4 linked regions of the Saccharomyces cerevisiae S288C genome follow. The gene in region 1 interacts genetically with each later gene. Each region holds a gene or a part of one and is shown in the gene's direction. Other genes may lie near its edges. The genes, in order: RNH202, MUS81, MMS22 and MMS4.

The links.
Region 2: mutations in RNH202 (region 1) and MUS81 are lethal when combined (synthetic lethality), as found in Saccharomyces cerevisiae (3 studies listed by BioGRID, with this or other methods).
Region 3: mutations in RNH202 (region 1) and MMS22 together harm fitness more than expected from each alone (negative genetic interaction), as found in Saccharomyces cerevisiae (3 studies listed by BioGRID, with this or other methods).
Region 4: mutations in RNH202 (region 1) and MMS4 together harm fitness more than expected from each alone (negative genetic interaction), as found in Saccharomyces cerevisiae (4 studies listed by BioGRID, with this or other methods).

The regions. Positions count from the first base shown.
Region 1 is NC_001136.10:1,016,032-1,023,321, forward strand, and holds RNH202 (Rnh202p), read left to right. Parts: upstream 1-3,336; coding exon 3,337-4,389; downstream 4,390-7,290. Other genes in the region: exosome non-catalytic core subunit RRP45, read left to right, coding at 4,716-5,633; PHM6 (Phm6p), read right to left, coding at 5,976-6,290. UniProt on the Saccharomyces cerevisiae protein: Non catalytic subunit of RNase H2, an endonuclease that specifically degrades the RNA of RNA:DNA hybrids. Participates in DNA replication, possibly by mediating the removal of lagging-strand Okazaki fragment RNA primers during DNA replication.
Region 2 is NC_001136.10:1,244,322-1,252,497, forward strand, and holds MUS81 (Mus81p), read left to right. Parts: upstream 1-1,762; coding exon 1,763-3,661; downstream 3,662-8,176. Other genes in the region: EFT2 (elongation factor 2), read left to right, coding at 1-1,437; CIN10 (Cin10p), read right to left, coding at 3,833-5,500; RVS167 (amphiphysin), read left to right, coding at 5,865-7,313.
Region 3 is NC_001144.5:767,654-778,331, forward strand, and holds MMS22 (Mms22p), read left to right. Parts: upstream 1-4,286; coding exon 4,287-8,651; downstream 8,652-10,678. Other genes in the region: EST2 (telomerase reverse transcriptase), read left to right, coding at 1-1,543; BUD6 (formin-mediated actin nucleation enhancer), read right to left, coding at 1,665-4,031; SFH1 (Sfh1p), read right to left, coding at 8,931-10,211; U2-type spliceosomal complex subunit CWC24, read right to left, coding at 10,520-10,678. UniProt on the Saccharomyces cerevisiae protein: Substrate targeting component of a cullin-RING-based E3 ubiquitin-protein ligase complex RTT101(MMS1-MMS22).
Region 4 is NC_001134.8:439,622-444,826, forward strand, and holds MMS4 (Mms4p), read left to right. Parts: upstream 1-1,893; coding exon 1,894-3,969; downstream 3,970-5,205. Other genes in the region: ubiquitin-binding serine/threonine protein kinase VPS15, read left to right, coding at 1-1,694; Hsp70 nucleotide exchange factor FES1, read right to left, coding at 4,200-5,072. UniProt on the Saccharomyces cerevisiae protein: Interacts with MUS81 to form a DNA structure-specific endonuclease with substrate preference for branched DNA structures with a 5'-end at the branch nick.

The DNA.
Region 1 (7,290 bases):
GATATTCCATGTCTACGGTAGTTTCACTGGAGAAATGGACTCGTATTTTCTCTCACGATGAATTTTTCCACAAAATTATAAGATGAGGAAATGTGTGGGGCAGTCATCCTAACAAAACTCGCACGGACTCCATTTCCCCGGACCTTTTTCCCGCTTGTTCTAGGGAATAATTTCGGAATAATTTTAGGGACTTCATAGTATGACTGGGTTTCAAGGAACGGAAAAACTGGTTAGTACCGCGTTATTCTGCCATTTGCTGATCGTTTTAGTGGAGGAGCGGAGGAGGGGGCGGGGTGATAACTTTTTTTCCGCTTTACAATAGAGAAAAGTCCAAGTAAGTCTCGGCGTGAGATGGCCTTGATGTTATTAGTACCGGCGGCTCCCTAATAGTTTACTAATACGCATACCTTATGTCATATTTTTCCATCAAATATTGATCAGTAGAAAACCTTGGCAATGTACATAGAGCTACACTTTTTTGGATATGGAGTATTAGAGAAAACTGGGTTTGGTGGGCGAAGAGAGATGTTCCCTACCTCCTCAAGAGTCTTCAACTATGAATTTCACACCATATCCTTATCTAAACGAACTATGGGGTGGTCAGCTAACGCAAGTATTGAATTCTTTCTCTTAAAGTACCCCTAAGTTGAAGAATTCATTTTAATCTTCCTTGCTTTGTCCCCCCCCCCTAGAAGCATAGTTTTGTCTTAACGCTGTAACGGTCTTGTATGCTTATTTTGGTGGTAGGGATCGGTTTGCACCTTGGAAATGCTATGTTTACTTTATTAAAAAAATAATTAGTTTTCCTCCAAAACGTAAACAAATATAAGTTTGAGAGACAAAGAAAAGAATGAAAGAGTCTTATATATATATAAGTTAGCTGGTAGCATAACCATTTTTCTCGACTTATTTATAAAACATTCGACATACTTCCATATTTCAAGCATTAATATGAGACCTAGAATTTTTTCAAGCTAACTTATGTACATTGTAGTTATATGATGAGGAAAAATGTACACAACAGCTTGTGCTGTTTATTCCCATCGTATGTTGCGGTAATGCAAACAGCAATAGAAAAAAAATTGATATAAGAAGAATATGACTAGTAGCATCACAGTGAAACAGTAACGGTAAATGAATCAGCATGTGAATTTTTCTAGAAAATAAAAAAGAAACTCCGAAGCGGGGAGTCGAACCCCGGTCTCCACGGTGAGAACGTGATGTGATAGCCGTTACACTACATCGGATTGTACCTTGGTGATAGTTTGACCTAAAAGAAACGTTCATTATGTAATGAAGAAAGCCAATTATTCGGTCGCAAATCAAGGTTCTGTTAGGGAATATGATTTTCTTTGACTCTCAATGAGTTCTCTTATGACTATTTAGGGGCTAAATTATTTGTTATGGCAATATTATTAGGTAGGAAAGATACGACTTTACTGAAATTGTTGGAAATACAAAAAGGAGCAGATCATTCCACATAATGATATCATTATTCCCTCTTTCATTTAAAAAATCACCGTTTTTATTTTATTAATTATCAGTCTCTGCATTTTCAGATTCTGTTAAATTTGATAAATGTTTTTCGCCGTTTATAAAGTATTTTTGCATCATGTATGATAATGTATTAGTAATATGAAAACTGGTGTTATTAATAATCAGTGGTCAGGATGTAGTATTAGTTTGGAATAAAAGCAAATCTCCTCATGCTATATAAGAGGAATATAGAAAATACAGGCCAGTTGTTCTTATTAAACATGAACATAATAGTGGGTCTAGCAGTTACTATACATTTAAATTGGCGACTACTATTATTCGTACATTCGACTATAGCAGTATTTCCAATTAATGGATCTTTAACTCAGCTATTATACTGTTTGAGTTCCTCGTTTAACATTTCCCTGTCCAACAGGGACTTAAAAGTATGTAGGGTTTGCATTAATATACAGTAGAGACACTTAAATTGTTACTATAGTAACTCAAGTTACTATTCGTGAGAATATTGACTTATTATTCTTCATGAATAGTCGATTAGTAATCAAATGAAGTAATCAGATGTGCAATGCGTCTTTAATGTTTCAGACTGGAGAATGATACGTAGCTACATAATAATCTGGGTACAGTAAACTCAATGATCTATTACCTGAATGATTAATCTGATGCTTGCAATATAACAATTCATCTCGTGACATTAACCATAAGAATTACTCTCATCATTGCTATATCGGCAAGGTTTAATATGTCCAGTCGGAGTGTATTTTATATCTCTTTCTTTTAGAATAAGAATATCTGCTTTTATTCTTAATCAATACTACAACCTAACTACTAACTATCAACACTGTTAATTACGATTCGCTCCAACAAATTTGGTTTTGTGGATTCTTAAATTCTCGAGAAAAACTTCTAATATATCTTGTATACCAGATACTGTAGCCTTTAGCAACGATAGAATACGAACAGTTCTCTTAAAATTCGCCTATTTCTCATACCGTTGCAGATATAACTAAAGTATTGACATTCAGTGACATCTGGCGCTGATATCATTATTTAACACACGTATGTTTGCGTGGCATTGTCATTTTTAAGAGCAGAGAAAGAAACAATGAGCTACTTGAGTGTGACAAGTTGAAAAGTCCACCAATTTCACGTTGAATTAGGATTCATATATGAAATTCTAGTCATTAATTAGAATTGTAAGTTTCTGAGCTTTTTTTTCCTAGTAAATTAAACTTGTCTAATACATCCAGTTGTGATGTATTCTATATCTCAGTTCTACAGTAGCACGAAGTTTCCCGGCCTCTCTATTCAATAAATTCAGCTATCGCTGATTATCAACAGCAGCAACGAATAAAGCATAAAAGAACAGAAAAATTCTTCTACAAATTTATTCTGTAAAGATTCAGCTTCTTTCGTGAATTTCTAAGTTCATGAGGGGAATTTAAGTATGGCGTTTCTTCGTAGCGCCATTGTCTTGAGCCAAAATGGAACTCTAAAAATTTTCACGACATTTTACTAGTCAGTAAAGTGAGCATATACATATAAGAAGAAATTTCAAAAGGTAAAAAATGGAGCAACTTCCAGCTCATTATCTTTTCAATGTTGTCGATGCCATAGTTGGATTATGAAATCTCATATTCATAACCACAACGCGTTTTTTTCCTTTTAAGGCACTACAGACTCCATTCTCACAAGTTTGTCAAAAGCACGAGCGCGATGAGAATTAAAGTCAGATCTGGTTAATGATTCTGGTACAACAGCAGAAACAAATCGAGTACAAATTTAATCTTATTCTGTCGCAATAGTTGACTTTCTTTTCTGGCCTCTCGAACAAAAAGCATGACCGTTTCCAACATTGGGGGGGAAGAACGACTAATAATTTTACCAGACGATTATGAAACTTCGAAAACTATAAACACTTTTACACTGCCGCCACCTTCCAATATTACATCCAAACCTCGTATCGAGCTCTTCGAAAATATTAATGGAAAACTTTACGAAATAAGATCTTTTCAATTCGGCAAAGGGCCCTCGTATTCACATGAGGAAGATTTGGCAAATGATAAATATCACTATACTAAGGAAAATCACCCGATCAAATCAACTTTCATTGTAAATACGTCTGATCCCACCGATGGTTATGTTTTTAACTCAAGCAAAATACACTTTTGTTCTTTATACGATATTGCTTTTAGTTTGATTGGATTTTACTATAGAAACAGTGTTTCAGCAGATGAACAAGATTACTCCAATTCAAGTGATACTGGTGAAAACCAAAAAAGCAACAGCAAAACCAATGAGAAATTTCTTACGGTGCGTGATTACCATGATTTCTTAACGGATAACCATGACAAGAATTGGGAAAACATTTCTTTAAGTCGTCTCAAGAGTGGCTTAGCAAAAGTTAGTGAAACCATTGAGGAAGCTGGTGACGTCTATTACAAGATCACATCTGCAATGATAACACAATTTTTGTTAGGCAAGGTATCAAAAATTGTAGAAAACTTTCCTCCAAGTATCCCTACACTTAAAAATGCCCCAACGGAAATAAAACAGTGCTACAAGGTAGTTATGGCTACAAATCTTTTAGTTTCCCTGATTCCAAGGGCGGCCTACCATAATTTACTTACCTTTTCACCTACAATGGATAGTGGTTGCCTAAATCCGGATATAAAAGCTAGCTTCATAGAACTCGAAAACTACGAGACTACGAACGAATTACAGAATGCTGAAAGAGAATTACTGATGAAAAGTGCCATGAATGTAGGCCTAAATTCGAATGGCAGGGTTTCATTGCCAGTGAAAAAAGTTACCAAAAAAATAGTTCAAAATAAAAAACCAAAAGTAGCCATAGGAAAAGGGGCCATTGATGGATTTTTTAAACGTAAGTAGCTAGTATCATAATTAAACAGCAATTTGAATGCTATAACTCGGTGGTGATGACCTCAGTGCGAGATAATTACACAATATTGTCACTACCAACGAATGGGCTACCTTTTTTTTCCTTTCTCGAATTCAAGAAAAAATTAACAACTTTTCCCTCGATGATGTTAACAAATGTCTGAATATAAAGGAATAGGAAACGGTTGCTAGATTGTATTTACCTTACCAACTTTCAAGTTTTTTTTCTAACTTCCTAACTTTCAGTCTCGATACATTAATCAACAGGACGTAGTGATTGCAAAATTGTTCAGAATATACATTAGATTAAAAGACAAATGGCCAAAGACATTGAGATATCCGCATCCGAGTCAAAATTTATCTTAGAAGCACTGAGACAGAATTATAGGTTGGACGGCCGCTCCTTTGATCAATTTCGTGACGTGGAAATAACGTTTGGTAAAGAATTTGGTGATGTTAGCGTAAAAATGGGCAACACCAAAGTTCACTGCAGGATTAGTTGTCAAATAGCACAACCATACGAAGACAGGCCATTTGAAGGATTATTTGTAATATCTACAGAAATATCTCCTATGGCTGGTTCTCAATTTGAAAATGGAAATATCACGGGGGAAGATGAAGTTTTATGTTCAAGAATAATTGAAAAATCTGTTAGGCGGTCGGGCGCATTGGACGTGGAAGGACTATGTATCGTTGCTGGCAGTAAATGCTGGGCTGTGAGAGCTGATGTACATTTCCTGGATTGTGATGGTGGATTTATTGACGCTTCGTGTATTGCCGTCATGGCAGGATTGATGCATTTTAAGAAACCAGATATAACTGTCCATGGCGAGCAGATCATTGTTCATCCTGTTAATGAAAGAGAGCCAGTTCCACTAGGTATACTGCATATTCCAATATGTGTAACTTTTTCTTTCTTCAATCCTCAAGACACCGAGGAAAACATAAAAGGTGAGACTAACTCAGAAATTTCCATCATTGATGCAACATTGAAAGAGGAACTACTGCGAGATGGTGTATTGACGGTTACGCTAAACAAAAACCGTGAAGTGGTACAAGTTTCCAAAGCGGGTGGTTTACCAATGGATGCGTTGACGCTAATGAAATGTTGTCACGAGGCTTACAGCATTATTGAGAAAATAACTGATCAAATACTGCAGCTTTTAAAGGAGGATTCAGAAAAGAGAAACAAGTATGCAGCCATGCTTACATCTGAAAATGCCCGCGAGATCTAATATTAACGAAAAAACTGAAATAAAAGCAACGCTTATACATATACATGCATGCATTAATATATGTATATATATCGGTACGTATAGATTGTAAAATTACACTTACTACTAAAGGCAGTATGAAAGACGCCCGCAGTTTTTTTCCTACTGTTTTCTTGACTGCGGTGTTCAAAAACATAAAAATCATTAAATTACTATAAAACAAACGCATACTGCGAAGAAAAAAGGCTCGGCTATAAATGCATATGAGAAAATATTATCTTTTGCCTCCCTGCTTAATTTCTGAAGGCATGTACTATCCAAAAGAAAAATCTTGAAAGAAAACAAATCCCATTATTCTTATTATTAAAACAAAAACTTCGTCATCGTCATCACATAAAAAAGACCTACCATTGTCAAACTGTACAACAGCAACACAATAATAATGACGATGATGAGTTCCTCGAGAAACCCTAGAACGGCGTTATAACACTGTTTGAGGGTATTACTTTTTCCACTACTCTCGTGGCGCGGAAGACCTGCTTCCAAATCTACTGTGTAATCAATACACTTAACCTCCTCTCTCTCCCCTTGTGCGTCAGAAAACTCTGCCTGTCTTATTTCCTTCTCCTGTTGTCCTATTTTCAGTACATCATCGATGCACCTCGAGGTATCTTCCATCTTGGTGTCAGGTTGAAAAACAATTGCTGTCGTTTTTTTTTAGTTCAACAAGTTTGGTATGGCAGTTGACAAAAATTCTATTTGGGCTGCAATGAATCAAAGTGTACAAACATCTGGTGAAATCGTTCAAGTTTTATACTGAATAGAAAACAAAAGATAAGGTTCTGCGCATCGCAAATAATAAATTACTAGCGCGCCATACAAGAGACGAGTCTATTTTTTTCCGCCAGACGACACAAAAAAGAACCCGTGCAAATATTATATCCCACCTCCCACGTGTCAGCGAAGCTCGGAACTGCGTAACATTATAGGGCAGAACATCCAAATGGAAAAAGTAATAACACTATTTGCGATGTTAGTGGCCATCCTGCGTCGTTCGGATAGGTTAGGACGGGCTGATGAATATACGGGTGTAATAAAAATGACACCACGTTATCAGGGTTTTCATGACAGTGCAAACTAATATATGTCATATTATTTTAAGTGGGCTCATTTATTTACATGTTTATTTTTTATTGTAATTTGCGTATGTATCATTACACGCTAATGCACATTTGCACGTTCTAATAATGAAGGTCGTCCGTCATAAGCAATTAGGAAATGAGAAATCTTGATTTTATCGCTAAAAAACGCTTTCTCTTGTGGCAGGAGCAGATCTCTTACATATGTAGTTATTTAGTCGCTTCTAAGAGCCAGATCAGGTGCGTGGATTCATATAATATCCCTTTTTCAATAACAACGTTATAAGGAAACGTTGGGTAAAAGAATATTAATTACTGAGTGGAACTTTTTCTCATTGTTCTGTGTATATACAATGTTGTATCTCAAAATGAGATATGTCAGTATGACAATACGTCATCCTAAACGTTCATAAAACACATATGAAACAACCTTATAACAAAACGAACAACATGAGATAAAACACGGCCTTCCCTAGCTGAACTACCCAAACGTATAAATGCTTGAACAATCAGTTTAGATCCGAGATTCCGCGCTTCCA
Region 2 (8,176 bases), 230 kb from region 1:
AACTGTATTGCTATCAAGAACTGTGATCCAAAGGCTGATTTGATGTTGTACGTCTCCAAGATGGTGCCAACCTCTGATAAGGGTAGATTCTACGCCTTCGGTAGAGTTTTTGCCGGTACTGTTAAGTCCGGTCAAAAGGTCAGAATCCAAGGTCCAAACTACGTTCCAGGTAAGAAGGACGATTTGTTCATCAAGGCCATTCAAAGAGTTGTTTTGATGATGGGTAGATTTGTCGAACCAATCGATGACTGTCCAGCCGGTAACATTATCGGTTTAGTCGGTATCGATCAATTCTTGTTGAAGACTGGTACTTTGACCACCAGTGAAACTGCTCACAACATGAAGGTCATGAAATTCTCTGTCTCTCCAGTTGTGCAAGTCGCTGTCGAAGTCAAGAACGCTAACGACTTACCAAAATTGGTCGAAGGTTTGAAGAGATTGTCCAAGTCTGATCCATGTGTCTTGACCTATATGTCTGAATCCGGTGAACATATCGTTGCTGGTACCGGTGAATTGCATTTGGAAATTTGTTTGCAAGATTTGGAACACGACCACGCTGGTGTTCCATTGAAGATCTCCCCACCAGTTGTCGCTTACAGAGAAACTGTTGAAAGTGAATCTTCTCAAACTGCTTTGTCCAAGTCTCCAAACAAGCATAACAGAATCTACTTGAAGGCTGAACCAATTGACGAAGAAGTCTCTTTGGCTATTGAAAACGGTATCATCAACCCAAGAGATGATTTCAAGGCCAGAGCTAGAATCATGGCTGACGACTACGGTTGGGATGTCACCGATGCCAGAAAGATCTGGTGTTTCGGTCCAGACGGTAACGGTCCAAACTTGGTTATTGACCAAACTAAGGCTGTCCAATACTTGCACGAAATCAAGGATTCCGTTGTTGCTGCTTTCCAATGGGCTACCAAGGAAGGTCCAATTTTCGGTGAAGAAATGAGATCTGTCAGAGTTAACATTTTGGATGTTACTTTACATGCCGATGCTATCCACAGAGGTGGTGGTCAAATCATCCCAACCATGAGAAGAGCTACTTACGCTGGTTTCTTGTTGGCTGATCCAAAGATCCAAGAACCAGTTTTCTTGGTCGAAATTCAATGTCCAGAACAAGCCGTCGGTGGTATCTACTCCGTCTTAAACAAGAAGAGAGGTCAAGTCGTTTCTGAAGAACAAAGACCAGGTACTCCATTGTTTACCGTCAAGGCCTACTTGCCAGTTAACGAATCTTTCGGTTTCACTGGTGAATTGAGACAAGCTACTGGTGGTCAAGCTTTCCCACAAATGGTTTTCGACCATTGGTCCACTTTAGGTTCTGACCCATTGGACCCAACCTCTAAGGCTGGTGAAATTGTTCTTGCTGCTCGTAAGAGACACGGTATGAAGGAAGAAGTTCCAGGCTGGCAAGAATATTACGACAAATTGTAAGAATGGTTAAACAATTTTTAATTATTTAACTTTTTCAGTTTTTGTCGTAATGTATTGGGCACCTTTTATGTCCTTTTGACTTTTTTGTAGTTTATTCTCACGTATACTTACCATCTATAGTGTTATTTCATATTTAATCATATTTCCATATTAGATATCTGCCTTCCCCTGTATAATAGTTACTATGATTTATCTTGCTTTGCCTATTCGCGTCATCAACTTCTTTTCTTACCGATCGCGGTAATGCCCTTTAAGAGTGGCATCAACATTGGCGTAAACAAAGTTTCAAAGGATTGATACGAACACACATTCCTAGCATGAAAGCATGGAACTCTCATCAAACTTAAAAGACCTATATATTGAATGGTTACAAGAATTAGTTGACGGATTAACCCCTAAACAAGAACAACTCAAAATAGCCTATGAAAAAGCAAAAAGGAATTTACAAAATGCTGAAGGTTCATTTTATTATCCTACAGATCTAAAGAAAGTTAAGGGAATTGGCAATACAATAATAAAGAGATTAGATACGAAATTACGGAACTATTGCAAAATTCACCACATATCTCCCGTTGAGGCTCCTTCCTTAACTCAGACAAGTAGCACCAGACCACCAAAGAGGACTACTACAGCTTTGCGTAGCATAGTAAACTCATGCGAAAATGATAAGAATGAAGCTCCCGAAGAGAAGGGAACTAAAAAGAGAAAAACTAGGAAGTATATACCCAAAAAAAGATCTGGAGGCTACGCTATCCTTCTTTCCTTACTCGAGCTTAATGCCATTCCTCGAGGCGTTAGTAAAGAGCAAATCATCGAGGTTGCAGGAAAATACAGTGACCATTGTATGACTCCAAATTTCTCCACAAAAGAATTCTACGGTGCTTGGTCGTCTATTGCTGCACTTAAAAAACATTCGTTGGTTCTTGAGGAAGGTAGACCAAAACGGTATTCGCTAACAGAGGAAGGTGTAGAACTAACAAAGAGCTTAAAGACGGCAGACGGAATCTCTTTTCCAAAAGAAAATGAAGAACCTAACGAGTATTCCGTAACCAGGAATGAAAGTAGTGAATTCACAGCAAATCTGACTGACCTCCGTGGTGAATATGGTAAGGAAGAAGAGCCCTGCGATATAAATAACACTTCATTCATGCTGGATATAACTTTTCAAGATTTGAGCACGCCGCAAAGGCTGCAGAACAATGTATTTAAAAATGATAGACTGAATAGCCAAACTAATATATCTTCTCATAAATTGGAAGAGGTCTCTGATGATCAAACAGTACCTGATTCCGCATTAAAGGCTAAAAGCACAATAAAGAGGAGAAGGTACAACGGAGTAAGTTACGAATTGTGGTGTAGTGGTGATTTCGAAGTTTTCCCAATTATTGATCACAGAGAAATAAAGTCACAATCTGATCGTGAGTTTTTTTCAAGGGCATTTGAAAGAAAAGGTATGAAGTCAGAGATAAGGCAACTCGCTTTGGGTGATATTATATGGGTTGCCAAGAATAAAAATACCGGGTTGCAGTGTGTGCTCAACACCATAGTTGAAAGAAAAAGGCTAGACGATTTAGCTTTAAGTATAAGGGATAACAGGTTTATGGAGCAAAAAAATAGGTTAGAGAAATCTGGCTGTGAACACAAATACTATCTCATTGAGGAGACTATGAGTGGCAACATTGGAAATATGAATGAGGCCCTAAAGACCGCGCTTTGGGTCATTTTAGTGTATTACAAATTCTCCATGATAAGAACTTGCAATTCGGATGAAACTGTGGAAAAGATACATGCGTTGCATACTGTAATTTCTCATCACTATTCTCAAAAAGATCTCATAGTTATATTTCCAAGTGACCTTAAAAGCAAGGACGATTATAAAAAGGTGCTTCTACAGTTTCGTCGAGAATTCGAACGAAAAGGCGGTATTGAATGCTGTCATAATCTTGAATGCTTTCAAGAACTAATGGGAAAAGGCGATCTAAAGACGGTTGGTGAGCTAACTATACATGTTTTAATGCTTGTTAAAGGTATATCTTTAGAAAAAGCAGTAGCCATCCAAGAAATATTTCCTACCCTGAATAAAATACTAATGGCATATAAAACGTGCTCCTCGGAAGAAGAGGCTAAATTGTTGATGTTTAATGTACTGGGAGATGCACCTGGTGCGAAGAAAATTACTAAATCTCTTTCAGAAAAGATATATGATGCTTTTGGTAAACTTTAGCAATTTGAAATATAGTCATCCCTGCAAGGTTTTATAAAGAAAAAAGTGATGATATTCTTTTAACTAATATATACATATATAAGAAAAGAAGCCTTAATTTCTCACGGACAAATATACCAGAAGCATATCTGAAAGCCGCCCCAATGCATTATGATGCCACTTGACAACTCATCAATGGTAGGTACGAAAGACATAATGAACATCAATTCCATTATCAAAAACCCTTCCAACCTCTTCCAGTGACAAACCTTTGACTTCTGGATACCAAAAATATACGAAAAACCAGGCACAAACTGTGAAAAAAGCAAAAATGAGCATTGTATTTTCATCACCAATGGTGTTAATAGTGCTCAGATATGTCATTGAAACAAATGCATTGGTCAACCAATTTGTGCAGGCTATACATGATGCCCCAAATGATCTCCTGTTCAAGGGGAGAAATTCCACACAGGTCCATGGAACGCTGCCCATCGCAGAAGCATATGCTGCAACATAAATTACAACAGAAATTAAAAGTAAATTGACTTGGTCATGACCGAAACCTACACTGCAAAGAAGTAACCCAACAGTCATAATCAAAATTGTTCTCAAAAGAATGGCTCTTCTTCCCAAAGAGTCCATGGTGTACATGGCGAAAAAAGTGAATATGAAGTTCGTTGAGGCAATCAAAATTGGAGGCAGTAGAGGGTTTTTTATATTAAATTTGGAAAATATTATTGCCGCATAGTACATAAAAGCATTAAAGCCAGTGATTTGCTGGAAAAACATTAACATGCAACCTACTATTAACGCTCTTATTGTGCGTGGCTCCATTCTGTGTCTTTTCTTTTTGTTAGATGCCAGGGCACCGTTTGGAGCTGGGCCTCGCAACGCCGATAGATATGCTGATGAGGAGGACATTGTGTTGCTAGTTCTTTCTGTGTTCGAGGAAAGTCTTTTAATGTTAGGTGGGCTAAGAGTTCCTGAGGTTGAACTATCCATGTATCGAATAACCGATTGGGACTGTACTAGTAAAGGTTCACTTGCATCTTCGTATAGTCGTAACTTATCGAGTTCAATTATCAGCTGCTTAATTTTACTATTCACATGATATGTAGATGCAGTAGGATATAGCATTCTTAGAGAATCCCTGGTATATAGAATGTCTCCCTTGGAAATGGACCATCGTGGCGATTCAGGGATAAAATCCAGTATTGAAAGGAACAGAATAGCTGGAATAGCAGAAAGTGCGAACAAATATCTCCATGAATTATCAATCTCTTTCATAAGGGACGCAATCACATAGGAAACCAATTGACCTCCAGTGATGGCAATAATGTTCAATGTCAACATAAAACCCCTGATTCTGGAAGGTGAAATTTCACTCAGAAATAGAGGGACGCACTGGGCAGACACTCCAACAGCGATCCCAACCAGCAATCTCCCACAAATCAAAAACGTCAATGTTCTTGCTATAGCCATTCCAATTGCAGCTAGGATAAAAATTGAACAGCAGATTGCGAGAGTAATTCTTCTTCCATACCTATCTGCTAAAGGAAATGCCAGAATAGAGCCAAAAAATGATCCGACGCTTGTACTGGAAGTTATCAGCTCCTTCTGAACATCCGTTAAAACTACCAAAGATAGATCTTCGGGCTTTAAAGAAAGCAGAACACCTGATATAACACCAGTATCATAGCCGAATAAAAGCCCACCAATGGTAGCACCAACGAAGATTAACGACGTTTTGAACGTTAAAGCATATGGGAGTTGCTCGATGTCATTGGCAGTATTGGATGTTACCTGGGAGATAATGGAATACAGATCAGAATAAACGTCTTCACTTTCATCTGTAGACATACCTCTATCAAGTTTTGACTTTCCTGTCGCTTGCCTGTACGCTTTTGTTTTCTACTGAGAAAAGATACTTTTTGACCATGGACTATAAGTGCACGCTACAGTTGCACATATAAGGTTGTATATAGTTCAAGAAGTTCCTTTCGTATGGAAATTTTGTTATGTATACCTTCCAGTTGCTATGGTAGTCTACCTGACTAAATTATCAATCCGACCGATGTTCGGATGTTGCGATAATATTGGTACCGGAAAAAAAAAAGGAGAGGGCTTTGTAGTGTCGATGTTTAACAACCTGTTTTAAGGAATAAAGTAAAGTGAGGCTCACCTGGTCATTTAACACCAAGAATCAAGGAGCCAATAAGTGCACATGAGTTTTAAAGGGTTTACCAAGGCTGTTAGTAGGGCTCCTCAGTCCTTCCGTCAAAAGTTCAAGATGGGTGAGCAGACAGAGGATCCTGTTTACGAGGATGCAGAACGTCGTTTTCAAGAATTGGAGCAGGAGACAAAAAAATTAAGTGAGGAATCGAAGAGATACTCGACTGCGGTGAATGGAATGCTGACACACCAAATTGGATTTGCCAAATCCATGGAGGAAATTTTCAAACCTATCAGTGGTAAAATGAGTGACCCTAACGCTACCATACCAGAGGACAACCCACAAGGTATTGAAGCAAGTGAACAGTATAGGGCAATTGTCGCAGAATTACAGGAAACATTGAAACCGGATCTGGCTTTGGTGGAAGAAAAAATTGTTACGCCATGCCAGGAACTGTTGAAGATTATTACTTATATTCGTAAAATGGCCACCAAGAGAAATCACAAAAAATTAGATTTAGATAGACATCTAAACACTTATAACAAGCATGAAAAGAAGAAGGAACCAACCGCCAAAGACGAAGAAAGATTGTATAAAGCACAAGCTCAAGTGGAAGTGGCTCAACAAGAATATGATTACTATAACGACTTGCTAAAGACTCAATTACCAATACTGTTCAGTTTGGAAGCTGAATTTGTGAAACCATTATTTGTCTCATTTTATTTCATGCAATTGAACATTTTTTACACTTTGTATAATAGACTTCAAGACATGAAGATTCCATATTTTGATTTGAACAGTGACATTGTAGAGTCGTACATTGCCAAGAAAGGCAATGTGGAAGAACAAACGGACGCCTTGACTATTACACACTTTAAACTCGGTTACTCTAAGGCAAAATTGGAGATGACCAGAAGGAAGTATGGTGTAGCAACCGCCGAAGGCTCACCCGTCAGTGGCGCATCAAGCGGTGTCGGATATGGTGCTGGGTATGATCCAGCAACTGCCACTTCTCCAACCCCTACAGGATACGGTTATGGTGCCGCAGCACCAAGTTACGCCGCTCAACCTGCTGCCCAGTATGGTACTGCTGCCGCCGTTGGTACTGCTGCTGCTGTTGGTACTGCTGCTGGTGCTGCTGCTGGCGCTGTTCCGGGTACTTATCCACAGTATGCTGCTGCGCAATCTCCACCGCTCACTGGGCTAGGCTTCCAACAATCACCACAGCAGCAACAGGGACCACCACCGGCCTACTCTAATCCTCTAACATCACCTGTTGCGGGCACACCAGCCGCGGCCGTAGCGGCAGCTCCTGGCGTTGAAACTGTTACCGCATTGTATGACTACCAAGCTCAAGCTGCTGGTGATTTGTCTTTCCCTGCCGGCGCAGTTATAGAAATTGTCCAGCGTACTCCGGACGTGAACGAATGGTGGACAGGAAGATACAATGGCCAGCAAGGTGTGTTTCCTGGGAACTACGTGCAACTCAACAAGAACTAGAGGAGGCCCCTGCATCCCTCTGTATTCATTACCTTCTATTGTGAGATGTTACCATTACCTTTTTCTTTTATTGTAATGTTTCTTAATTTAAATACTATATAGGGTAATTCATCCTTCCACCAACAAAGTATCGTTTGAGTCTATCTATTACGGGCATGCGGCGAGCATATTACCCTACTGACAATATCCCAAAAGGGAAGGAGCGCGTTCCCAATAGGGCTGCCACCTTCCCAATATGGTACAAAGCCTACCATATGGGGAAATCAGTTTTCTCGCTCACCTCGCCTAGTCTTCCTAAAACGACGTTCCTCAGTCTCCTTTCTCTTTTATAAAACACCATCTCTGTCTTGTCGATGACACAGCCCAGTTGGGAAACCGGTGCTGACAAACAGGAAAAAAGCAAGACTAGTGGCCTGGCGCGGAAGAAACTGAGCTACATTGCACAACATCTTCAAGCAGGGTGTACGCATTCATTACTTTAATACTAAATTTAGAAGAAATCATCCTTTTTACTCGCGAAACTGTTAGGCTTGATCGGACGATCTCAGAAGAGGAAAAACAAATTGATAAAGTCTTCGTTAGGTTTCCTAGAATAGCAGGCCCGTTACAAAAAATTTTTTTACCCATTCCACTGGTTTTATTCACTAGTGACTTGAAAACTCCACATATTTTTGATCTCTTAAGCTTTCACGCATCACAAAGTTATCAGAACAAATTTTCTCCAGAAAGTTATATTGCAGTGTTCAAAAAGCCGTTCTCATTTCACAGCAATTTTTTTCTAAAGTAGAGGGGCAGAGAAATTAGCCTTCACAAGTTTGCTTTCGAGCTTCCAATTTGATTCCTGCTTTGGTCTTACTTTCATC
Region 3 (10,678 bases), on another chromosome or scaffold:
ACTAATTCCCAAAATTATACAGACTTTTTTTTACTGCACCGAAATATCTTCTACAGTGACAATTGTTTACTTTAGACATGATACTTGGAATAAACTTATCACCCCTTTTATCGTAGAATATTTTAAGACGTACTTAGTCGAAAACAACGTATGTAGAAACCATAATAGTTACACGTTGTCCAATTTCAATCATAGCAAAATGAGGATTATACCAAAAAAAAGTAATAATGAGTTCAGGATTATTGCCATCCCATGCAGAGGGGCAGACGAAGAAGAATTCACAATTTATAAGGAGAATCACAAAAATGCTATCCAGCCCACTCAAAAAATTTTAGAATACCTAAGAAACAAAAGGCCGACTAGTTTTACTAAAATATATTCTCCAACGCAAATAGCTGACCGTATCAAAGAATTTAAGCAGAGACTTTTAAAGAAATTTAATAATGTCTTACCAGAGCTTTATTTCATGAAATTTGATGTCAAATCTTGCTATGATTCCATACCAAGGATGGAATGTATGAGGATACTCAAGGATGCGCTAAAAAATGAAAATGGGTTTTTCGTTAGATCTCAATATTTCTTCAATACCAATACAGGTGTATTGAAGTTATTTAATGTTGTTAACGCTAGCAGAGTACCAAAACCTTATGAGCTATACATAGATAATGTGAGGACGGTTCATTTATCAAATCAGGATGTTATAAACGTTGTAGAGATGGAAATATTTAAAACAGCTTTGTGGGTTGAAGATAAGTGCTACATTAGAGAAGATGGTCTTTTTCAGGGCTCTAGTTTATCTGCTCCGATCGTTGATTTGGTGTATGACGATCTTCTGGAGTTTTATAGCGAGTTTAAAGCCAGTCCTAGCCAGGACACATTAATTTTAAAACTGGCTGACGATTTCCTTATAATATCAACAGACCAACAGCAAGTGATCAATATCAAAAAGCTTGCCATGGGCGGATTTCAAAAATATAATGCGAAAGCCAATAGAGACAAAATTTTAGCCGTAAGCTCCCAATCAGATGATGATACGGTTATTCAATTTTGTGCAATGCACATATTTGTTAAAGAATTGGAAGTTTGGAAACATTCAAGCACAATGAATAATTTCCATATCCGTTCGAAATCTAGTAAAGGGATATTTCGAAGTTTAATAGCGCTGTTTAACACTAGAATCTCTTATAAAACAATTGACACAAATTTAAATTCAACAAACACCGTTCTCATGCAAATTGATCATGTTGTAAAGAACATTTCGGAATGTTATAAATCTGCTTTTAAGGATCTATCAATTAATGTTACGCAAAATATGCAATTTCATTCGTTCTTACAACGCATCATTGAAATGACAGTCAGCGGTTGTCCAATTACGAAATGTGATCCTTTAATCGAGTATGAGGTACGATTCACCATATTGAATGGATTTTTGGAAAGCCTATCTTCAAACACATCAAAATTTAAAGATAATATCATTCTTTTGAGAAAGGAAATTCAACACTTGCAAGCATATATATATATATATATACATATAGTTAATTAGTACTAATAATACATGAAATACTGACAGCTTATGATGCTGATAAGGAAAATATTGCCGCAAACTTTGTAATAAGCCAAAAGCACTAATCTCTTTTCCGTTAGCTTTCATAAAATTAGTGTATTTAAGTAAACCCCGGCCCAAAATATGCTCTCAAATTTGCTTCATCCTTCTGCTTTCTTATCCTTTCTACTTCTTCAAAGCCTCCCGATTTTTTCAGGTTTGAATTACCCACAAAATTTTCCAGTTCATCATCAAATTCATTACTAGCTTTAAGTTTTCTTTCCATCTCCCACATCTTCTCAGCCTTGTCAATAGCTTCGACCCTACTATCGTGGTCAGGGTTTAAAGATTGGACGGCCACCATAACTTGCTCCCTTACCTGATTAAATGTGCCCGGTCTCATAATAGGCAAAATAGGATTACTTTTTGATCTCGAAGGGTTTTTTTCTTGTTCTTCACAACATAACTTAATAAGATCGAAAGTTTCTAATGCCTTACCCAAGTCTTCCTTCAAATCTAAAATCAACTCTTCCTGCAACGTGAGAAACTGTTGTTCTTCACAGACCTTATCGAGCTCAGCTTCCCAAGTTTTTTTCCAATGTGGTTTTTCAGTATCAATAAACTCCTGTAGTTTAAGTACATCTGCTTGGGCATTTTCTAAATCCTTGGATACGGTTTCTAGCTTCTTTTTAGCGGGCTGAGACCTACGCTCAGCAACGTCTTTCCTCATAATTTCGATTACATCTTGCAAATCATCTACTTTACTTAGCAGAGTATCGGATAAATCACCGAGTTCGGTCTGTGATTTTTCCATGTACATTCTGTTGGAAGAGTTTTTGGCAGAAAATGATAAAGACTTAAAGTTATCGACCTTTCGTAAAATGTTGAAAATAGTCTCATTAATATTTGACCTATTAATATTATGCACTTGTTTTATTTTCCCCAATTCGTACTGAATATCTTTGATCGTTTTATCATCATCTTTTTTGTTTTGCCCCACAAGATCGTGTTTGTTAGCTTCAAGGCCAGGTTGTGGTAAAACTTCCGTTTGCTTGCCGCTAATTGCAGAACCAAAACTCATTTCTTTTAAATGTCTTATTATATCATTCTGACTATTCGATATCTCCATCTTAACTGTGTCAATGAATTCCTTGATCGTATTATTTGGATTCTCTTCGAGCTTTAGCTCGATAACAAACCCTTCTTTAATATCGAGAAGATTTAGTTCCTCTAATTCATAGAATACTCCATATTGAGGATCCATAATATATATGTCTGGGAAGGAATTTGCTCCAGGAGAATACGCAAAGCGCTCAATAAATAGGAGCCTTAATGCGTTTTTTGTAGTAGGCAGTTGCACATGACACTTCTTTGTTTTGTCTCCTATCCTTAAAAATACTGGACAAGTTCCATTCATGGCTTTATCTGGCGAAGTTGTAACAACGCTTGATAATCTTCGTGGAGATGCACGAACATTCTCAATAGGCAATGGCGTTTTCGCCAATGGACTCGCCTTTGATACATCGTCAATGCTTTTACCCTTATTTTCAGCTGAATTAATGTTTCTATCATCATCATTGTTGTTATTTCCGTATAACTTTGACTTTCTTACGGTTTCCTCTAGATGCAACATCGAGGGTGAAGGAGTTGTCATGAGGCCGGCAGCCGCAGCAGCTTCTGTTGTAGACTGATTTGTCAATTTAGCCATATGGTAGGCAGAGTATCTCTTTGAGGCTCTCCTTTGTAAATTAGTTCCCTTCTTCAATTGTGAAAGTGCATCATCATCATCAGATGCGTTTGGAGCATTGTTAGATTTAAGGTTTTGTTTAATATTAGTTCTTGGTTTTGTCAATGTTGCCTCTGCTGACTGAGCAGAGGGTGTTCCCGTAGAAGTAGAATTCACTTTTTCCCCATAGCTGTTTTCGACTGAATCGCTTTGCCTCTGATCACGTACAATACTGCTTTTTCTGCTACTTAATGGAGTCCCCTCACGGGTCCCTTCACTACCCAATGAAAGGTTACTAGTAAAGGAAGGGTTTTGTTGATGATGTGATTTTACACTTATCCGATGCTCTTGCTGCATATTCTTCAAAATTGCTTGTTTAACCTTTAGTTTGTCTAAAAGTGTCACTATAATCTCTCTGATTTTTGGCAGATGTTTATTTAAAGTTTCATCAGATGGTGGTTCCCTCAATGTCACTTCCAATACACGTCTTAAAGCCATTGGCACATCACCAACATCTGACATGTCAACTTTCGCATGCATGAAGAATTTCGATACGACTTTGAAGTCATTGCCCAACTGAACGTATGCATCAGATACTAATCTTCCAGAGGTTGTCCCCTTAGACCATTGTGTTAAGACCTGGAGGAGGTGCTTGGTGGACATCAGCAACTTTGTTACTGTCGTTTCAATACTACTACTGCTAGAAGCAGTTCTTTTAATCTTTGGGGTGCCATACGTAGGGTCATCCACGGCCATCTTCATCTAATTTTAAAATAATACGAGGATTACTACACCAATTTGGCAGCCAGCTTCTACTCTTTTTCCCTTTTCTTGGGTTTGTTTTGATGCCATTATCTCAAGAATGCATAATAGTAGGATAAAATTCGTTCAGCTCGGCTAGCGAGATATCTTCAAAGAGTAAAGCGCATCTGCGTGTAAAATTAAATTCAAGAAGTGAAAGAATAAAAGATAGGATTGTAGATTTGAAGTTTAGTGGTAGCGTCAGCAGATAAGCTTATGGATGTTGATGAACCGAATCCTATTGTGATATCAGATTCTGAGGCCACTGATGAGGAAATTAGTATCATATACGAACCCGAATTCAATGAAAATTATTTATGGGCAGAGGAAAACGTCCAAGAAGCAAGCAGATCACAGAAAATTGTCACTGAGAGGTTGAGCCTGGATTCCACTGCTGGAGAATCTTGTACTCCTTCCGTAGTAACTGATACACAAGTTACTACGGGGCTTCGGTGGTCTTTGAGGAAGAGGAAGGCTATTCAAAAGATGCCATACAGTTTAGAACGCATAAAGCATAGGCAGTTGCTAGAGGGCTATGATATCTCTAGTTTTGACAGCATTTCGAATCAGTTGACCTTACCGAAGAACGCTTCTACAGTGATTCACTCAAATGATATTTTACTTACAAAGAGAACTGGTAAACCCTTAGATGAGCAGAAAGATGTTACAATCGACTCCATTAAACCCGAAAACAGCTCGGTTCAATCTCAAAGATATGATAGTGATGAAGAAATACCAAAGAAAAGGCATCGTACTTTTAAAGACCTCGACCAGGATATAGTATTTCAATCAGGTGATTCTACGGAAGATGAACAAGACTTGGCTAGTACAAATTTACAGAATACTCAAAATGACGAAGTAATATTTAGAGGAAGAGTATTGAATGTAAGAACTGGTTACCGTGGGGTCCTGCCAAGAGTTGCTTGGGAAAAGTCGTTGCAAAAGCAGCAGTCTTCAAAAGTCACGAAAAGAAAAACTCAATTATTGAACCATAAGGGTGTGGCTAAGAGGAAAATGAACAGAAGCGCCCATATTGAAGATGAAGAACAGAACTTATTGAACGATCTTATTGCACCTGATGACGAACTGGATATCGAGGAAAACGCCCCTCCAGATATATACTTAGGAAATCTTCCAGAGGATCGTGAGGCTAACGAAAAGGAATTAAAGGAATTGCAAGAATATTATGAGAGCAAGTATAGTGAAGACGCACAATCGGCTGGAACTTCTGGTTTTAATTTAAATGAGGAATACCGCAATGAACCAGTGTATGAGCTGGAATATGACGGACCGGGGAGCTGCATATCACATGTGTCTTATAAAGACCAGCCTATTATTTATTTGAATTCACGGCATTCAGATAGCGGATTTAGTGAGCAATACAATATATCTGCCGAAGATAATCAAAGTGTAATTTCCCTAGATGCTGCTGAAGAGCATAACGATGGTATAATTGACAAGATGTTGGTTAAACCTAAAAGAATTAAAGCAACCAATGATGCCAACTTTTTGAATACAAAAAGTAAGAGAGTGAGAAGATATAAGTACAAATATCGAAATTCTTGTCTGGCCCCAAGTACAAAAGCTATCAAAGTCGGAAAACGGTCAGCGCATAAATCTCATTTGGCAGCTAATAATCCAGTTTCATTTGTTTCTAAGAAGAATCATGTAATTGATGATTATTTTTTTGAAGAATTAGAATCTCAATCCCTAGAACAGGATGACAGCTCTTCTCTCAAGCCACAGAAAAAAAGAAGGAAGAAGAAAGCACCTATATACTCAAGTTTCTCCGCTGATCTTGAATCGAGACGAAAACCAGTTTTCAATACTGTTGTAGAGGTTCCCACGAACCGATACGCTTTCACAAAGCCAAATGTACGTAATAGGGACAGCATTAATCATGACATGGAATTTGAGGAAGAAGACTCCAATCAAGAGCTTGGACCAATAATGGTCGTACTTGACTCAATTTTACTAAAAAAACCTTTTGAGCCACCTAATTTCTTCAAGATCCAGTTGTCAGACAAGAGTTTCTTGCTATCAAAATTGAATCCTGCAGATATAGCTACATCATTACAGAAAATATTCAGAGTAATCATTGATAAAGGTATCACTGATACTGAACTAGTTCACTTTAACGAAAGCCTTATTGCTTTTTTGGTGCACCTTGACATGCCTGAACTATTCGACTTAATAGGTGAATTTCATCGTGAATTTAGATCGAAGGTCAATAGCTTGAGGAAAAAAGCTAAACCAATCCATTTTTTTCAAATTGCGGCATGCCAATTAATGTTTCTAGAAATATCAAGATATAACAAAATTTCAGCCGCTGCAAAATTCGACATGGATGTCAAACTCTTAGATCATATTGTGTCTTTCTTCAAATTACTTTCTGTCTGTTATGATTCTGTTATGAAAAATCCAATGCAATATCTGTACACAAGTTATTATATTCTCTCTGCTGTCGTTGATGTCATACATAAAAAGGAAGCTTTGTGGGATTTATTTCAAAAGCACCCCTTTTCGCCTCATATTTCACTGTTGCTGGTCAACATATTTCCTACGAAAGTCTGCCGCTGGCAGGTTTTGAGATTAGATTCTGAATTCCAACCCTTGAGTTCGGCATTTCGGTTCATCAATTATTGCATTGAGACTTGTAATTGGAATGTTACAAATTCTTTGATTCTTTCTCTCGATCGCATATTCAAACGGAGAAGATTTTCGGACTTTGAAGAAGAGTCTGATTTGTCACAAAACAATAAGATAATTTATCCTCCAACGAATCAGCTTACGAGTCGATTAATGTTTAACAGATATTTGCATCTACTGACGTTGTGTGAATTGTCTAGTTCTGATACACAACGTGTGATACCGATGGGTGATATTTCTATGAATGATTCTCTATCTGTTTTGAAGAACCGCCTCAACCTACTAATTGTTCTAGCTACACGTTTTGATTTAAACTTAGAGAAGCGCTTCCAAGAGCTAACACGACCGTTATATAGTAAGGAATATTTAAACTTGCATACACAGAACACAGTCAGGACGATAACAACATTGATCATGCAGGCCAGCCTTTCATTCCTGGAAATCAGTCGAATCAAAAATCATCCATTCAGTGGAAAATTTATTGCGTCATTATTTGATAAACTAGTACTTCAACAACCTTCCATATCGGGAGTAACAGAAAATTTTTTGAAAGAATTCACAAATTTAGTCTCCAAAATGAAAAGAAAAAGCGTGAGTATGCTCAAATTTCTGTATCCTTCACTGGTGGCCATGTCTCAAGAAAATATATTCGAGTCGTCTTTTTTTTTATTATTACAGGTATATTTGAAGAGCTTAGATGTGCTGGGTCCAACTTGGGTGCAAAATTATCTTTTTCAGTTTATAAAGAGCAAGGCTCAAGAAAATGAAAGATGGATAGAATGCTATTGTCAGATCGGAAAATTCCTCGTAGATTCTGGTATATTTACCTGGTGGACTTTCTTTACCTATAACGGCTTAGATGCTGCATTACACTTTCAGCTTGCATTTCACTCCCTTATTATCGATTTCTGTGATACAGACTCTTTTGAATTACTGAAAAAACCGCTTTATTCCATTGCTTCTGATTTGCTGCTCATTTCCAAAGATGACGCTTTCTATCACTTTCTTTCCAATCTGTTGAAGAGGGCACATATCATAGTAGCAGATTTGAAACCTGTTTCCGATGAGAATGAACTCCTGCGATTGGCTTATATTTTTTCTAAAGCATTGAAAAAAAATGCATATCAAGATCTATTAGCTGTTTTCTTATCCCTGGCGAAAAAACATTACGATGAAGGGGACATCAGTAGAAATTTCTTGGCAAAATATCTCGAATTTCTTAACAAAAATTGCTTGACTGAGCTAAGAAATAATCAACTCTTCATCAGTCTAAGAAGGGAACTTGGTATTTCAAGTGATGAAGACGAAAAATGTGCGTTCTGGGACTCATTCAATGAAGCAGGTGATATACTTTCCAAAGCTGCATTTGTTGAAACCGGTATTGTTCAAGCCTGTTGCACTGGGAATGAAATTGATGGATATCTTGACAATTTAAGCACTTTATTCACCTCCACCATGTTAGAGAGCCCTTTTGCATTTTTTTCTGACCTGGTGATAGCACACATATTTGAGAACAGACCTTTTTTCGACGTGAATATCAAGAATTTTCTTCTATCTCACTTCATAGACCTTTTCAACAAGGTTTTAAAAATGAAATTCGAGCAGGTATCTCCTGATGAATTTGCTGAACTTTGCAAAGTATACAGGGCGTTATGTATTGAGTGCGCAACAGACGACACCTTTAATAGTAATAGTGATTTGATCGCCGCAAAAGATGCGTTTTTGGTATCTGTGTTGAGAATCGCAGATGGGTTTTGGGAGCATGACAAACTTTTGCAGCTAAGGATGCTTGATAGTAATATGAACATACCTAATCAGATTCCTCATACTACTTTGCAAAGTTCGCTATCTGCGATTGTAATAAAGATAATAGAAAGTAATATAGGAAAAATTGAGGCGTCTGAACCTTTCAAAACCTTCAAGAATACGTAAATTATACACATGTAATATAAGCATATTTAAAAATTCTCCGTAATATATGTCATATATGTCAAATTGCGAATTAGTCCAAATAGAAACAAGATCTATCAGTGTTGGTGATAAACATTTTGTATTCTTTTGGTAACGTGTATCTCAAAGAAGTGCATGACTTTTTTTACGTTCTCTTTAGTCTTGATTTAGTTGCTTCTGCGTTTGTTAAATTTTTTGTCCTTCCCGTTTGATTAATAATACTTATAATAATACAATTCTGTAACAAGAAAAGCAAAGTTACTACATTCTCATTGTGGTTTCTAAGTCATCTAATCTTCTCCTGCCCCTTCTAGATAATCTATCAGTTTCTCTTTTCAATCTTCTTAAGTTTCTTTCTTTTTCAATTTCTCTCTTTTGTATTTCTTCTTTTGTTAATATTTCCACCCTTGGGCACCAATTGGAGCCCAGTTCATCAATATCCAGCCTTATACCAGATAAGTACCCAAATGCGGCATCGTTTGGGACATGGTCCTGAATCAAGTGGCCATCTACCCAGTCCTTCTTTATCTTCAAGATAGTTTCATGAAGCGATTGAGATATTAAGGGGATGAACTCTCTTGTTAAGCCAAGGTCCTGTACAATGGATGTAGCAAATCTTTCTGGAGTAAGTGATTTGTCGTTCAAGTTCCACTGGAAGTTATCTTCAAAAAATCTGTCTTGTAAGTTGCAGGTTAGGTTGATTATCACGTGGAGGTCAGACATTATCTCAGTGGCTGCAATATTTTCGAGGTCTTTCAACTGCTCTTTTATTATATTCGCAATTTGAGTTTGTAAGGTAGCGGAAGTCATATCAAGATCTTTACAGTATATAGAGGCAAATTCCTCCGGAGATATGGAGTCGTCATTGTAGTTCCAGAGAAACTGGTCTTTTATGGTATGACCCATATGTTCTATATCCAAAGTAATTGGTATCATGATTGCCTCTCCAGAATTGGCGTTTGCCTTCGTTTCTTGATCAGTGTTGAGTCTATATGGAGACACCACTTTTCCGTTAATGAAAGTATCTCTTATTTTAGGGTATCTCAATATGTTGAAGGGGTTGTGGTGTTGGTCTTGCAGATCCGGTAGAACGGCGTTTCCAATATCCTGTGCCTGCGCTTTGTTGCTCGGACCATTGCTGGCGTTGTTATTGCTATTCAAACCGGATAAAGATTCCACAACCATGTTTGAACCCGCATCGTATTTGTTGTTAGAGATAATACTATCAGCTCCATTCATGTTCTCTAGGACATTGTATTCGGAACCGTCCATGGTAACACCATTTGTAAGTGCCGGAGTATTTTCATGAGACACTGCATTATCTTTATAGTGTGTATCAGCATTGTTGAAATTAGAACCGTTCATATTGAATTCATCAAAGAGATCGTTGTCATATTCCGCATAGTTGACCACTTTAGCCCTTTTATGCTGCCTTGTTTGTTGAGCCATTGTAAAGATGGGGATACCATCATCTTCGTTTGTCAATCTGTTATGAAAGTTAGAAATATAAGCTTGTGGAATAAGCTGGTTTTGGTGCGACATTGTGTGCTGCTATGTGCCTTTCTTCTTTCTTTTTTCAATGTACTTCATTCAATAATCTCTATTTGTCGTATTTTCTAAGTTTTTTTTTTTTGTCAAAGTAGTCGCGGCGACTTTAAATGAGCAGATCATCATTTAGTAGACAAAAAGACACGGGACATCTTCTATCTATATAGTTTACATACTTTATTATGTGAAAGAGTCTTTCGAAATTGCAACAATGCTCGATAAATCTATGGGTCATGTGCTCTATAATTCCTGTACATTAGCATCGGGTGCGTGTAATTTTTGGGGTGATATGGCATTCTCCATCAACTTTTCCTTTTATTTAGCATCTTCTGTAAGTCAGATGCTACTTTTGCACTGCCGTGGGTCTCCTTGTGGCATATAAAGCATTTGGTGCCCTTTTTCATATCTTTGGCAAAACACGATCCACAAAAATAATGGCCACAGTTTGTGACCACTGGAGA
Region 4 (5,205 bases), on another chromosome or scaffold:
CATATAATAATAGTAATTACCGTCCATTAGTACAGAACTCACCACCTAACCTAAACCTTACGAATATTATGCCAAGAAACATTTTCTTTGATGTAGAGTTTGCTGAAGAGTCGACAAGTGAGGGACAAGATTCTAACTTAGAGAACCAACAGATATATAAATATGATGAAAGTGAGAAAGATAGCAATAAGCTAAATATTAACGGTAGCAAACAGCTATCTACCGTCATGGACATAAATGGATCACTAATATTCAAAAATAAGTCCATTGCCACTACTACTTCTAATTTGAAGAACGTTTTTGTTCAGTTAGAACCAACGTCCTATCACATGCATTCTCCAAATCATGGCTTGAAAGATAATGCAAATGTTAAACCAGAAAGGAAGGTAGTCGTCAGCAACAGCTATGAAGGCGACGTTGAAAGCATAGAAAAATTCCTATCGACTTTCAAAATTTTACCTCCTCTGAGAGATTATAAGGAGTTTGGGCCTATTCAAGAGATTGTACGGAGTCCAAACATGGGTAATTTGAGGGGCAAGTTGATAGCTACTTTGATGGAAAACGAACCCAATTCTATTACGTCTTCTGCTGTTTCTCCAGGAGAAACACCCTATTTAATAACAGGTTCAGATCAAGGTGTAATCAAGATTTGGAACCTGAAAGAGATTATCGTGGGCGAGGTTTACTCTTCTTCTTTAACTTATGACTGCTCCTCTACCGTAACTCAGATAACCATGATTCCTAACTTTGACGCGTTTGCCGTTTCCAGTAAAGATGGACAAATAATTGTATTAAAGGTTAATCATTACCAACAAGAAAGTGAAGTCAAATTTTTGAATTGCGAATGCATCAGGAAAATTAACTTGAAGAATTTTGGTAAAAATGAATACGCAGTGAGAATGAGAGCATTTGTGAATGAGGAAAAATCTCTACTAGTAGCATTGACGAATTTGTCAAGGGTTATTATATTTGATATTAGAACCCTGGAGAGGTTACAAATTATAGAGAATTCTCCAAGGCATGGTGCCGTTTCAAGCATCTGTATCGATGAAGAGTGTTGTGTCCTAATTTTGGGGACGACTAGAGGTATTATTGATATATGGGATATCCGTTTCAACGTGCTGATAAGGAGTTGGTCCTTTGGGGACCACGCACCAATCACGCATGTGGAGGTTTGTCAGTTTTATGGAAAGAATTCTGTAATTGTTGTAGGAGGTAGTTCAAAAACATTTCTAACAATATGGAATTTTGTTAAGGGGCATTGTCAGTATGCTTTCATAAATTCTGATGAACAGCCATCTATGGAGCACTTTTTACCAATTGAGAAAGGCTTAGAAGAATTAAATTTTTGTGGAATCAGGTCTTTAAACGCACTAAGCACTATCTCAGTATCTAATGATAAAATTCTTCTTACCGATGAAGCAACAAGTTCCATTGTTATGTTTAGCCTAAATGAGCTTTCTTCTTCTAAAGCAGTAATAAGTCCTTCAAGATTCAGTGACGTTTTTATTCCTACACAAGTTACGGCAAATCTCACAATGTTATTGAGAAAAATGAAACGTACTAGCACTCATTCAGTAGATGATTCTCTATATCATCATGATATTATAAATTCTATATCTACATGTGAAGTTGATGAGACACCTTTGCTGGTTGCTTGTGATAACTCAGGGCTTATTGGAATCTTCCAATAATTTTTTTTATTTTATTCAGCTTCTTTATTCTAAATGCGTATAAATTTGTATTCACCTTAAACATTTTCGATCATTTAGGAAAGGGCTTGCAACGCGTTGAAGTACCCTTTTCACGAAAAAAATGGTTGTATACGTAAATAAAGAACAATGTATGGATTATGGTATAGAATAATAGTAGTCACATATTGCAGCTAGTTAAATGAGCCAGATCGTTGATTTTGTTGAGGACAAAGATTCAAGAAACGATGCCAGTATTCAGATCATCGATGGACCCTCAAATGTTGAAATTATCGCTCTCTCGGAATCAATGGATCAAGATGAGTGCAAAAGGGCACATGTAAGCTCTGCAGAGATGATTCCATCATCACCGCAAAGAAAATCTGTTTCGAATGATGTTGAGAATGTTGACCTAAACAAATCTATCGAACTTTCTGCGCCGTTCTTCCAAGATATCAGTATAAGCAAGCTAGATGACTTTTCTACAACAGTAAATTCCATCATAGATTCGTCTCTCAGAAATGAGAATAATGCAAAAGGAAACGCGAAAAAACTTTTGGATGATCTAATAAGTGATGAATGGTCAGCTGATCTTGAGTCGAGTGGAAAGAAGCACAACAAATCACAATACAATTTGAGGGACATCGCAGAGAAATGGGGAGTACAGTCTTTAAAAAATCCAGAGCCTATTGCTGTTGACTGCGAATATAAGACACAAGGAATCGGAAAAACCAATAGTGACATTAGTGATAGTCCGAAATCACAGATAGGAGCAGCTGATATACTGTTCGATTTTCCACTGTCTCCAGTAAAACATGAGAACCCAACTGAAGAAAAGCACAATTCGATTGCTAATGAAAATTCTTCACCAGATAATAGCCTGAAACCAGCAGGAAAACAAAATCATGGTGAAGATGGGACATCCATGGCAAAAAGGGTATACAATAAAGGTGAAGACGAGCAAGAACACCTTCCGAAAGGAAAGAAGAGAACCATAGCGTTATCAAGAACACTAATCAACAGCACCAAACTACCTGATACAGTAGAACTAAATCTTTCTAAATTTCTCGATTCCTCAGATAGTATTACTACTGATGTACTTTCAACCCCTGCAAAGGGGTCTAACATAGTAAGGACAGGTAGTCAACCAATCTTTAGCAACGCTAATTGTTTTCAGGAAGCAAAACGCTCGAAAACATTAACGGCTGAGGATCCCAAATGTACTAAAAATACTGCCAGAGAGGTATCACAACTAGAGAATTATATTGCCTATGGGCAATACTATACTAGAGAAGACTCAAAAAACAAAATACGACACTTGTTAAAAGAAAACAAAAATGCTTTTAAGCGAGTTAACCAGATATATCGAGATAATATAAAAGCACGCTCTCAAATGATTATAGAGTTTTCGCCTAGCCTTCTCCAGTTATTTAAAAAAGGAGACAGTGATCTGCAACAACAATTGGCACCAGCAGTTGTGCAATCAAGCTATAACGATTCTATGCCGCTTTTAAGATTTCTTCGAAAATGTGACAGTATTTACGACTTTAGTAACGATTTCTATTACCCCTGTGATCCCAAAATAGTTGAAGAAAACGTTTTGATTCTATATTATGATGCGCAAGAATTTTTTGAACAATACACTTCACAAAAGAAAGAATTATATAGGAAGATACGATTTTTCTCAAAGAATGGAAAACATGTGATTCTTATACTAAGCGATATAAATAAACTCAAAAGAGCTATTTTCCAATTAGAAAATGAAAAGTACAAAGCTAGGGTAGAACAACGATTGTCAGGAACAGAAGAAGCTTTAAGACCGAGAAGTAAAAAATCAAGCCAAGTTGGAAAATTAGGGATAAAAAAATTTGATTTAGAGCAACGATTGCGCTTCATTGATAGAGAATGGCATGTCAAAATACATACTGTAAATTCACATATGGAGTTTATTAATTCTCTGCCGAACCTAGTGTCATTAATTGGAAAACAGCGCATGGATCCCGCAATTCGGTATATGAAATATGCTCATTTGAATGTAAAATCCGCTCAGGATAGTACAGAAACGCTAAAGAAAACCTTTCATCAGATAGGGAGAATGCCTGAAATGAAGGCGAATAATGTCGTGAGCCTATACCCCAGTTTTCAATCATTACTTGAAGATATTGAAAAGGGAAGACTGCAATCAGACAACGAAGGTAAATACTTGATGACTGAGGCAGTAGAAAAAAGATTGTACAAACTGTTTACTTGTACTGATCCAAATGATACTATTGAATGATGATCGAACGAAACTTTGTATATAAGAACATACCTTAAGGCAGTCGTTTTGAAAATCACTGCAGCTCTATTTCCCCCTCCTTACCTTTTTAATGAATTCCATTTTACAGAAAGTACTATTGATAAATATTCGTAATAAAATAAAACAGTGTTAATAATAAATGTTCGAGATTCCGGTTAAAGATAATATGAAATGGTGAATGTAATATCATTTTATTTCTACGGACGTAATCATAATACATACTTTACGGCTAAATAATCGTCTTCATTAAGTCTGTCCTTTAGAGGCTCGATATGTTTGTAACCTTCGTTCAATTTGTGCAATTCCTGTTCATTAAATTTTATTCCGGAAGATATCAGGTGAGAGAGAAAAGACAGAACTCTATCTATGATGTTCAAGTTACTCTCGTCAGACAAGCACTCAATCGTACTTTCAATTACTCCATCCTTTCTCAGCACACTGATTATATTTTCATCAATCTTAACAGATGACAAATATGCGGTCAATAAGGCAATGGCTCTCATTTTCAGTTTTGGTTTGGCGGTGTTATCACTTAATACAGGTGCTATGCAGTCGAGCCCATTTAATTTGAAAAACTTTTCTGAGATATCTTTGTGGTTTCTTATTAGATTAGATAGTGCGTAAAAAGCTTTTGTTCTCACGTCGAGTGGCTTTGTCTTGTCACTAGCTATTTCGATAAGGCTTCGCAGACCATTGTCGTATTTCATGAAATTATTTTGCGAATCCAAGTTGTTTTGCACAGCCGTTCCAATAATGGATAAAGCAGCAGCACGTAGTTCTTCATCCTTCGTCTGAACAAGAACATCCAACAATGGCTCCCACAGTTTTAAATTTTCGATATTATTAGCATTATCTAAGTTCTCAATCAACATTTCAAAGTTGTCAAATGCAACGAGTTTTGTTTCTAAGTCAACCTCCGGATTCATAATAACAGCCATGGATTCTTTCATTAAGGTTGGATCGTCAGGACCACCACCACCGAATAACTGCTGTAGCAATTTAGGATCAGGTTGGCCGGCCCTAGCCATAGCTTCTTTGTCCCCTTGAGAATTCGCAATAGACCACTGTAATAGCTTTTCCATAGTTATGTATGTGTTTTTTTTTCTATTTTACTCTTTCGTTGAAAGGTAATGGCTTTCTGACTGACGATGAGTGCTCTTTTAGATATAGCCAATCGCTGGTTTATAAGCAAATTTCTGTCAGCGCGAGATGCCT